2 linked regions of the Macaca mulatta genome follow. The protein of the gene in region 1 purifies or fractionates together with the protein of each later gene. This does not show direct contact. Links are inferred from orthologs where the notes say so. Each region holds a gene or a part of one and is shown in the gene's direction. Other genes may lie near its edges.

Region 1 (3,804 bases):
TTTTAAATCTGCTCCCAGAGTGTTTGTTGAGACTTGGTCTTCTGTAGTGGCTGAATTATAGTGAGCAAATCTTTTGTGGTGAGAACCAGAAACTCACAGATTGTTTGGATACCTGAGACTAAGCCAAGAGAGTTTACACTTTTATTCTTATTTTATAATATCCTTTCTACTCTGAAGAACAGAGGCCTGATCCCCTTGCTAGGAGAGAAAGCTATTTCTTCCCAAGAACAGACTGAGTGTCATGTGCCCAGCCCTTATGTGGCTTGTTTCCTTCCCCTCAGCCCTGCCCTCACTGCAGTGCTCTACGACCTGAGTCGTCAGATTCCACAGCTAAAGAAGGACATTCAAGATGGGCTACTGAAAATGCTGTCCCTGGTCCTTATGCACAAACCACTCCGCCACCCAGGCATGCCCAAGGGCCTGGCCCATCAGCTGGCCTCTCCTGGCCTCACAACCCTCCCTGAGGCCAGCGATGTGGGCAGCATCACTCTTGCCCTCCGAACGCTTGGCAGCTTTGAATTTGAAGGTAAGAAATTACAATGTCTCTTGGCAAGGTAGTGAGAGCTGCTGGAAACTTTGGGAAAGGAATGAAAGTATCTAGACTTCCTGGATCTTGCTGTGATCCCAGAGACAGGGTAGCTGATTCTGTAGCAGCTCATCCTTCCTAGACTCTTTCCATATATTGGTAATTCCTGTTTGTTTCTTTGTCCCATACTGAGTTTGGGGGCAGATCGTTTGAGGGAAAGTATACGTTGATCCAAGGAAATAATGCTGCAGAGACAGATCCCCCTCATGTCCCCACTTTTTCACCTCCTTGTAGCTGAGATGATATGTAATGCTTTAAAATGTATAAGCAGGGGCTTTTGGGTGTTTCCATGTCTATGGTGGTATGGTGTCTTTTCTCTTTTTTTTTTTTTTTTGAGACAAAGTCTCTCTGTTGCCTAGGCTGGTGTGCAGTGGCACAATATCAGCTCACTGCATCCTCCATCTCCTGAGTTCAAGCGATTCTCCAGCCACAGCCTCCTGAGTAGCTGGGACTGTAGGTGCGTGTCACCATACCCAGCTAATTTTTGTATTTTTGGTAGAGATGGAGTTTCACCATGTTGGCCAGGCTGTTCTGGAACTCCTGACCTCAAGCGATCTGCCTGCCTCGGCTTCCCAAAGTGCTAGGATTACAACCATGAGCCACTGTGCCCGGCTGGCGGTATGATTTCTAAAAGTACTGTACTGTGTAGTTCTAAACTGCAAATAAACCCACAATAATACCCCACAGAGATATATTTCAGGAGGAGAAGTTGATACTTTTGAAATTTAAGATCATATAGGTAGTATTGGTCAAGACTGTAGAGAAACAAGCAAGTACAGAAAGCCTGAACATGCTGTCTGGAGACAGCCACCTGTGGTTTCTCTATTGTGGTTTCTCTATTTCTCTTTTGCCTTTCTGCTGATTGAAAGCCCCCTTGTTACCCTTTAAGAGTTCTGGGTCAGGCCGGGTGCGGTGGCTCACGCCTGTAATCCCAGCACTTTGGGAGGCCGAGGCGGGCGGATCACGAGGTCAGGAGATCGAGATCATCCTGGCTAACATGGTGAAACCCTGTCTCTACTAAAAATACAAAAAGAAAAGAAAAAAAAAATTAGCCGGGCATGGTGGTGGGCGCCTGTAATCCCAGCTACTCGGGAGGCTGAGGCAGGAGAATGGCGTGAACCCGGGAGGTGGAGCTTGCAGTGAGCGGAGATCGTGCCACTGCACTCCAGCCTGGGTGACAGAGCGAGACTCCGTCTCAAAAAAAAAAAAAAAAAAAAAAGGAGTTCTGAGTCAGTATCTTATTGATCAATATCTGGTTGAAAGTAGAATTAGTAGCCTCAAAATGGAAAATTCAGCTAGCAAGCTGCAGACCTACCTGTCTGCAGCAGCAGTGTTTATTCTGTTTTCTCTCTGCCTTTCTATCCAGGCCACTCTCTGACCCAATTTGTTCGCCACTGTGCGGATCATTTTCTAAACAGTGAGCACAAGGAGATCCGCATGGAGGCTGCCCGTACCTGTTCCCGCCTGCTCACGCCCTCCATCCACCTCATCAGTGGCCATGCTCATGTGGTTAGCCAGACTGCAGTGCAAGTGGTGGCAGACGTGCTTAGCAAACTGCTCGTGGTTGGGATAACAGATCCTGGTAAGGCTTCCCAGACAGAAGCAATCTAGGGGAGTTAAGGAGCTTAGGGCAGTTGCGAGTAGCCAGTTTCATTACGTAATGAAAGGCCTCTCTAGAGATCTTCGGCCTCAACAAGCTGATATTCAGCTATTTCTCTGCCAAGGCGTGTTAGGCGCAGCTACTCTAGCCTCTTAGTGTAAGATAATCTGCCTTTAATTCTTTGTCTTTACTCCTATGAGTAGAGAAAAGAGTAACAGAGGTTAGATGAGAGAAAGCATCTGGAATCTTCCCACTACGCTGATGGCAGTGGAGGTGGAAGCTGGGAAGGGCTAAAGTGATGGGGTCATGAAGAAATGTTCAAAGGCTCCATTGCTCTTGCAGACCCTGACATTCGCTATTGTGTCTTGGCATCCCTGGACGAGCGCTTTGATGCACACCTGGCCCAGGCGGAGAACTTGCAGGCCTTGTTTGTGGCTCTGAATGACCAGGTGTTTGAGATCCGGGAGCTGGCCATCTGCACTGTGGGCCGACTCAGTAGCATGAACCCGGCGTTTGTCATGCCTTTCCTGCGCAAGATGCTCATCCAGGTAACCGGGATGATGGCCAGACCCACAGGCAGGGAAGACAGGACTCTCACTTTGAGAGCTGCTTGAGGAAGCGGAGTTGAGGACAAGGATTGGGGAGAAAGATTGAGGTACCTGGTAAAAGCCACATTTGTCTGCAAGGGTCCACGTTTCCCTGGCTTTATAATGGCAGTTCCAGTGCTCATCACCTCATGAGCCCTTTGTCAATATGACTCCAAGGTGGTTCGGAGTCCTCTCATGTAGTTCTTTCTTTTTCCTGGCAAGTCGCCAGTGATCCCATTTCTTGGCCCTCTTTGCTTGCTGGATTGATCTGCTGCAGATGGTGTCAGACTTCCCAGCGCCTCCCTATCCTTCCACTCTCCTGCTTTTCTTGCTGGTGCCAGGTCAAGCATGGAAGCCATTGTTCTTCACAAAAATAACCAATGTGAGACCGTTTCCACCATTTATTCTGATAGTCATTGCCCCAGTCTGTGATCCTGGCTTTTGTTCTTAAATAATATGAGAATGCCAAACTCAGTTGCTTGGTCTGTAGCCTAAGGTAGAATTCCTCTTGAGATATGGCTCCTCAGTTTTTGTCTTCACCTACCTGAGTAAGTTCTGTGGCCTCCTGGTGAGCAATACATGGTCCAGTCCTGCCTGGCAAAGTTATTTCCAGCTGCCTCTTCTGGGTCTCTATGTGGTTCACCCATTCATTTCCTGTCCCCATTGCTCGCTGTCTGCTTCCTGACCCTCCCTCATGCTTTGTTTTGAAGTAAACACTTTTTGTAATATATAAGGAACTTAAACATAGAAAATCATTAATATATGTAACTCACTCTAGAGAAATGTTGTTTGTTCACAATTTGTTGTAAAGTGGCTGTAAATTATATCATCAATCAACAAATTAGGAAGCTGTACTTACGTTGGCACTTCTGTTTTTAGCCTAATGATTTATTTAACTGCTGGCCTGCGTTAGAAGTGCCTGTCATTTTAAGTCTTAAAAAATTTTCTGAGTTTTAGGAAGGAATAGAAATCATTGTTGAAGGCTGGGCATGGAGGCTCACACCTGTAATCCCAGCACTTTGGGAGGCCGA
Region 2 (4,432 bases), on another chromosome or scaffold:
TCCTGATACTTCTTAGCGCTGGTGTGCAGGTACACTCCGCCCTTCTCAAACACCACCTGAGTTGGGGGGAACCAGCAAGGGCTGAGGCCCAAGAGAAGGCGACCAGCGAGGGGACCGGCCTGGGGAGCCAATAGGGACGGGCCCAGGGAGGAGCCATCCCCAGGGGGCGGGGCCGGGAGGGCCATTGCCCAGGGACGAAGGCGGGGAGAATGGTCCAGCCCACGTTCGGATGCTGGCGTGCGTTCCACAGAGGGCAGGGCCCAAGGAGTCGCCTGAGCCGGGGGGCGGGGCCATGAGAGGTTCTTCCCTGGGGCGGTAGACGGGAGGGTGACGGCGCGTTTATAAGAGATCGGAGTTTCTCAAGTGCACTCGCAAGGCCTGAGGGAAGAGCTCATCACCAGACGGGGCGTTTCGCATACACTGAAGCGAGGGAATGCGTCCTCAGTGCTTACCCTGTAGCCGGCTCCTTCCATAGTCGCCGCCGAAGGCCCCACTGCCCCGCCTCCTCCTTTTCCGAGTCAGCGTGTGGTCACTTCCGGAGAAAACAGTTCCCCTCCGGACCGGACAGTGGTAGCGCCCCGACCAGTTCCAGAGAAAGAGTGGGTGAAACCATTTTTCCAGAAGGGGGATATTCCACTGGAACTTCGAGGGTGGATCGGAGCCACGTGGCGCAGACGCTGAAGGTGGAGCCGGCTACGGAGAGTGCGCAGGCGCAGTGTTCTCCCTCTCACCACGAAGTAAACAAGTGGGAGGGTCTGAGAGCTGCACCACCTGGGGCAAGCACGCCTCGAAACGCCCACTTCCTTCTCCATGTTGTATACTGGAATTGAAGCCAAGGAGGTACCATTTTGCTCGAGGGCATGGCCTAAGCCGGTCGGCTAAGGCCATGTTAATACGGGGGTGTCCCATCTCTCTGCGGGGCGCGACAGCTGGAAGAGCCGAACGGATAAGAGAAGAGGAGGTGAGAGGAGCTGTACACCACAAGAGGCACTGAGGGACTCGGGATAACGGGATGAAGCCGTCAGTGCCCCCAGAAACGAAGCGGCCCCAAACGAATTTCTGAGTCACCGTCGCGAGAAAGCGGGCTGAGCCGCCATTTTGAAGCCTGGCAAACCGAAGCAAGAAATGCTGCCGTGTTGGATCTTTGCCAGCTTTGGTGCTGAATGGGAGCAGGTTGGAGGGAGGGAGAGCCAATGTACACTATGGGCTGATTAGACCGGTTGGCTGCCATGTTGTTAACGAGCACCGATTTCCTCCACTTTTGTCGAAGAAGTTTATCGTGGGTCAGGGACGTCAGATCGCTTGCCTTCGTTTGCTGTGGTCATGAGCGAGCGTATGAGGACGGCCATTATTGTTGGGGGCAAATGGAAATGCTCTAGGCGAGAAAGCTGAAGCGTTTTTTTCGCCATTTTTTTTATGGGCACGCTGCCGTCGCCATTGCCCACTGGTTCGGATGAAGTCCCTGTGGCCGCCATCTTGATCTCGGGCGGCCCCGATAAGGGAGGCGGAGTGTACAGAGAGGAGGCGGGGCAACTACGCGGACGTGACGCAAGGCGCCGCCATGTCTTTTGAGGGCGGCGACGGCGCCGGGCCGGCCATGCTGGCTACGGGCACGTGAGTGGAGGCGGCGTTGTGAACCGCGGTGTGGGGAGGATTTGGCCGTCCTGAGGCAGCGGGGCGCTGGGAGGGCGAGCGGCTCACGGGAGGGGTATGGCCTGCACAGATCAGAGGGCAGAGGTCCGCCAGCGACCCTTTGCTGAGCGCTGGAAGGGGGTCGCTTGCGGGAATCGTCCTGTCAGACCTGAGGCAAATCCTAGACAGCCTCACCTTGCGGTGTCCAGAGCGCCTGGGATCTCTACTTGGGCCGTGGACCACGTCCACGGGGTCGGGGAATGGGTTGGGGGGCCTCGGGGCGCCCCTCACCCTTCCAAAGGCGGGACTTCCGGTCCTGGCCTCCGGCTGGGCGGGATTTCCTGTTTTCTTCCTAGACCAGTGGGTCCTCCCTGGACCACGGGCGAGGTTGGGAGGTCTCGGGGCAGCTGAGCCTGGCCCCAGGCACTCACCCCACCCGTGGCTACTGCGTTCATGCTCGGGTTCCTCACATCTTGGGGTGTGGAGCACTAAAATTTCGACAGGAGGGATGGTTCCACCCTTCTTCTCCTTAGCTCTTTCCCTCCTCCCCGCATCCAAAGAGGACAGCCACATCGTGCTCCCCCTCCTGTGGGGAACACGTCTCACTTTCGTCTCATCTCTCCCTGATCTTAAACGAAACTTCTCCATCGGGGCGGGTTCTTCCTCCATCTCTCAGCTCCTTGGAGGAAACAGGACCTCCTCTAGAAGCTCAAGGGTAAGGAGGACCGCCAGGTCTTGGCTACTCTCCTGTTGGGTAACATTACAGGTGCCCCTGGACCTTGGCAGAGAGGCCTGTGGAAGTCGCCTGTCGTTTTTGCTCATGTCTCCTGAGTTGGGGGAACCCTCACAACCCACTCACCCTATTTCACTCTCTTCAATCCCGTGGCTCCTCCAAGATTGAGTACAGGCAGGGAGTTTCATCCTGACGTCCTCCTCCGGGACCCCCGCTCCCCCTCTTCTCCGAATGTCATTAGGGGCTGCGGGCCCATGGAAGTGAGAGCCCCAGGCCTAGCACAGCCAGGCAGTTGACTTTGGACCGGCCACTTCTTGCTTCGAGCCTCAGTTTCTTCCTCCATCAGCTAGGAAGGACATGAGGGGTGTGTTTGAGACACTGGGTACCCCCCAGTTCATTGGGTTTTGGAGGCTGGGCAGTCAGCGGTTTCAGCCCCACTTGTGCCCTGTGTAGCTGTGTGCTTTCTTGCCAGTGTCCTAAGCTCTCTGAGCCTCACTTTTCCATCTAGATTATAATATCTGCCCTCCTAAAGGCAGGCAGGATGGCGGTCAGGATTTAGAGCAGGCCCTGGATCTAGACTGTCAGAGTCCAGGTCCCAGCCCTGCCTCTTCCAGTTGTGGGGTCGGACTCTTCAAGATGCTGACTGTCCCTGGGCCTGAGTTTGCAACTGTAAAATGGAGTGAACTGTAACTAAAACTCCTGCCTCATAGCGTAGGTGAAAGGGTGGGATGAGAAGGTTGATCCCATCTTGGGTCGTTGCGTGGCTTCTGGGAAGTGGTGGATAAACCTCTTACTTCCCTCGGGGCTTTGAACTCCCTGAGTGAGTCAGATGGGAGGTGAGATGCCAGGTGTGGAATCCCAGCACTGAATAGGTGCTCAGCAAACACCGATATCTATGATCGTGAGTCATAAAGGGCCTGCAAATTTCATTCAAACTCCAGACTCCCTGCTCCCTTCACCCTGGTGGGCTGGACCACAGCTGTGCCTGAATCCCTGCAGTGGCAGTGTGCTCACTGCCTCCCCAAGGAGCCTCTTCCACAGCCCAGCAGCTCTGGCTCAACCACTCTGGTTAATGGGGAAGAAAATGAGGCACAGAGAGGGCCAGTGAGCTGTCCAAGGTCACACAGCAGGTTTGAGACAGAGTCAGGGCAAGGACCCGGCCCCCCTACCCTCGCTCTTCTCACCCGGTAAGGAGATGCACCCTGCATTGTCTGCTTAGGGCCAACCTGTCCTGTGAATACAAATCCCTGACCTTGGGAGAATTCACAGTCTGATGCAGGAGGCAGCCAGGGTACAGCTGTCACAAGCTCTGGTGACCTGAATGCTCATGGAGGAAGCCCACAGCATCAGATGGGCTCTGGAAGGCATCTGATGCACGCTGGGGGATGAGGGACGACAGAGGACCTGCCCGAACAGTCTTGTAGGAAAAAGCCACGTGGATTTCCCAGCACAGAGAGCGGCACCAGCACCATTTCTTACCTTTGTTCAGCTCCGACTCTCGCTGAGGCCTCAGTCATGGAACCAGCCAGTTCTCTCTGGAAGGAAGTGTGCTGGGAAGGTGGCCACTCAGATGTTGTGGGACCCCCGAGGGAGGGGACTGGCTGGATCTAGGGGTGAGGGAAAGTTTCTTCCGCCCTAGGATGAGTGAAAGGTGGGTGGGGAACAGAGCATCCAGGTCAGGGACCACGTTTTCTGAAGGCCTTGGGCCTGAGAGGCTCTGGAAGGCCATGGAGGCAGGATAGCCGGGGAGCTGGCGTTGGCCAGAACACGCAGAGCCTCCAGGGCCAGGCTGAAGGCTGAGAACTATAGTCCTGAGGACTATGGCGAGGGGTAGCATCAGCTCTGGGTGCAGAAGGAGCCCCCTGGGCCTCGTGCAGGACACTCTGGATGGGACGGCCGGGCGATGGGGCAGGGTGGCATCACCCAGCAGATTCAACGCAAGCCCCATTTGGAGTTCTAAATTTTCTAGACACCATGTTAAAAGAGTAAAAAAAGCAGATGAGATTCTTCTTCTTCGTTTTTTTTTTTTGAAATAGAGACGGGGTCTCAACATGTTGCCCAGGCTGG

Evidence for each region.
Region 2: the proteins of MTOR (region 1) and AKT1S1 purify together in Homo sapiens (affinity purification with western blotting; 8 studies listed by BioGRID and IntAct, with this or other methods). This does not show direct contact. The link is inferred for Macaca mulatta from reciprocal best matches to the Homo sapiens genes MTOR and AKT1S1.

The regions. Positions count from the first base shown.
Region 1 is NC_133406.1:229,491,426-229,495,229, forward strand, and holds part of MTOR (serine/threonine-protein kinase mTOR), read left to right. Parts: intron 1-281; coding exon 282-526; intron 527-1,952; coding exon 1,953-2,168; intron 2,169-2,528; coding exon 2,529-2,734; intron 2,735-3,804. UniProt on the Homo sapiens protein: Serine/threonine protein kinase which is a central regulator of cellular metabolism, growth and survival in response to hormones, growth factors, nutrients, energy and stress signals.
Region 2 is NC_133424.1:62,337,306-62,341,737, reverse strand, and holds the start of AKT1S1 (proline-rich AKT1 substrate 1), read left to right. Parts: upstream 1-1,614; 5' UTR 1,615-2,140; coding exon 2,141-2,347; intron 2,348-4,432. Other genes in the region: TBC1D17 (TBC1 domain family member 17), read right to left, coding at 1-56, 453-473. UniProt on the Homo sapiens protein: Negative regulator of the mechanistic target of rapamycin complex 1 (mTORC1), an evolutionarily conserved central nutrient sensor that stimulates anabolic reactions and macromolecule biosynthesis to promote cellular biomass generation and growth.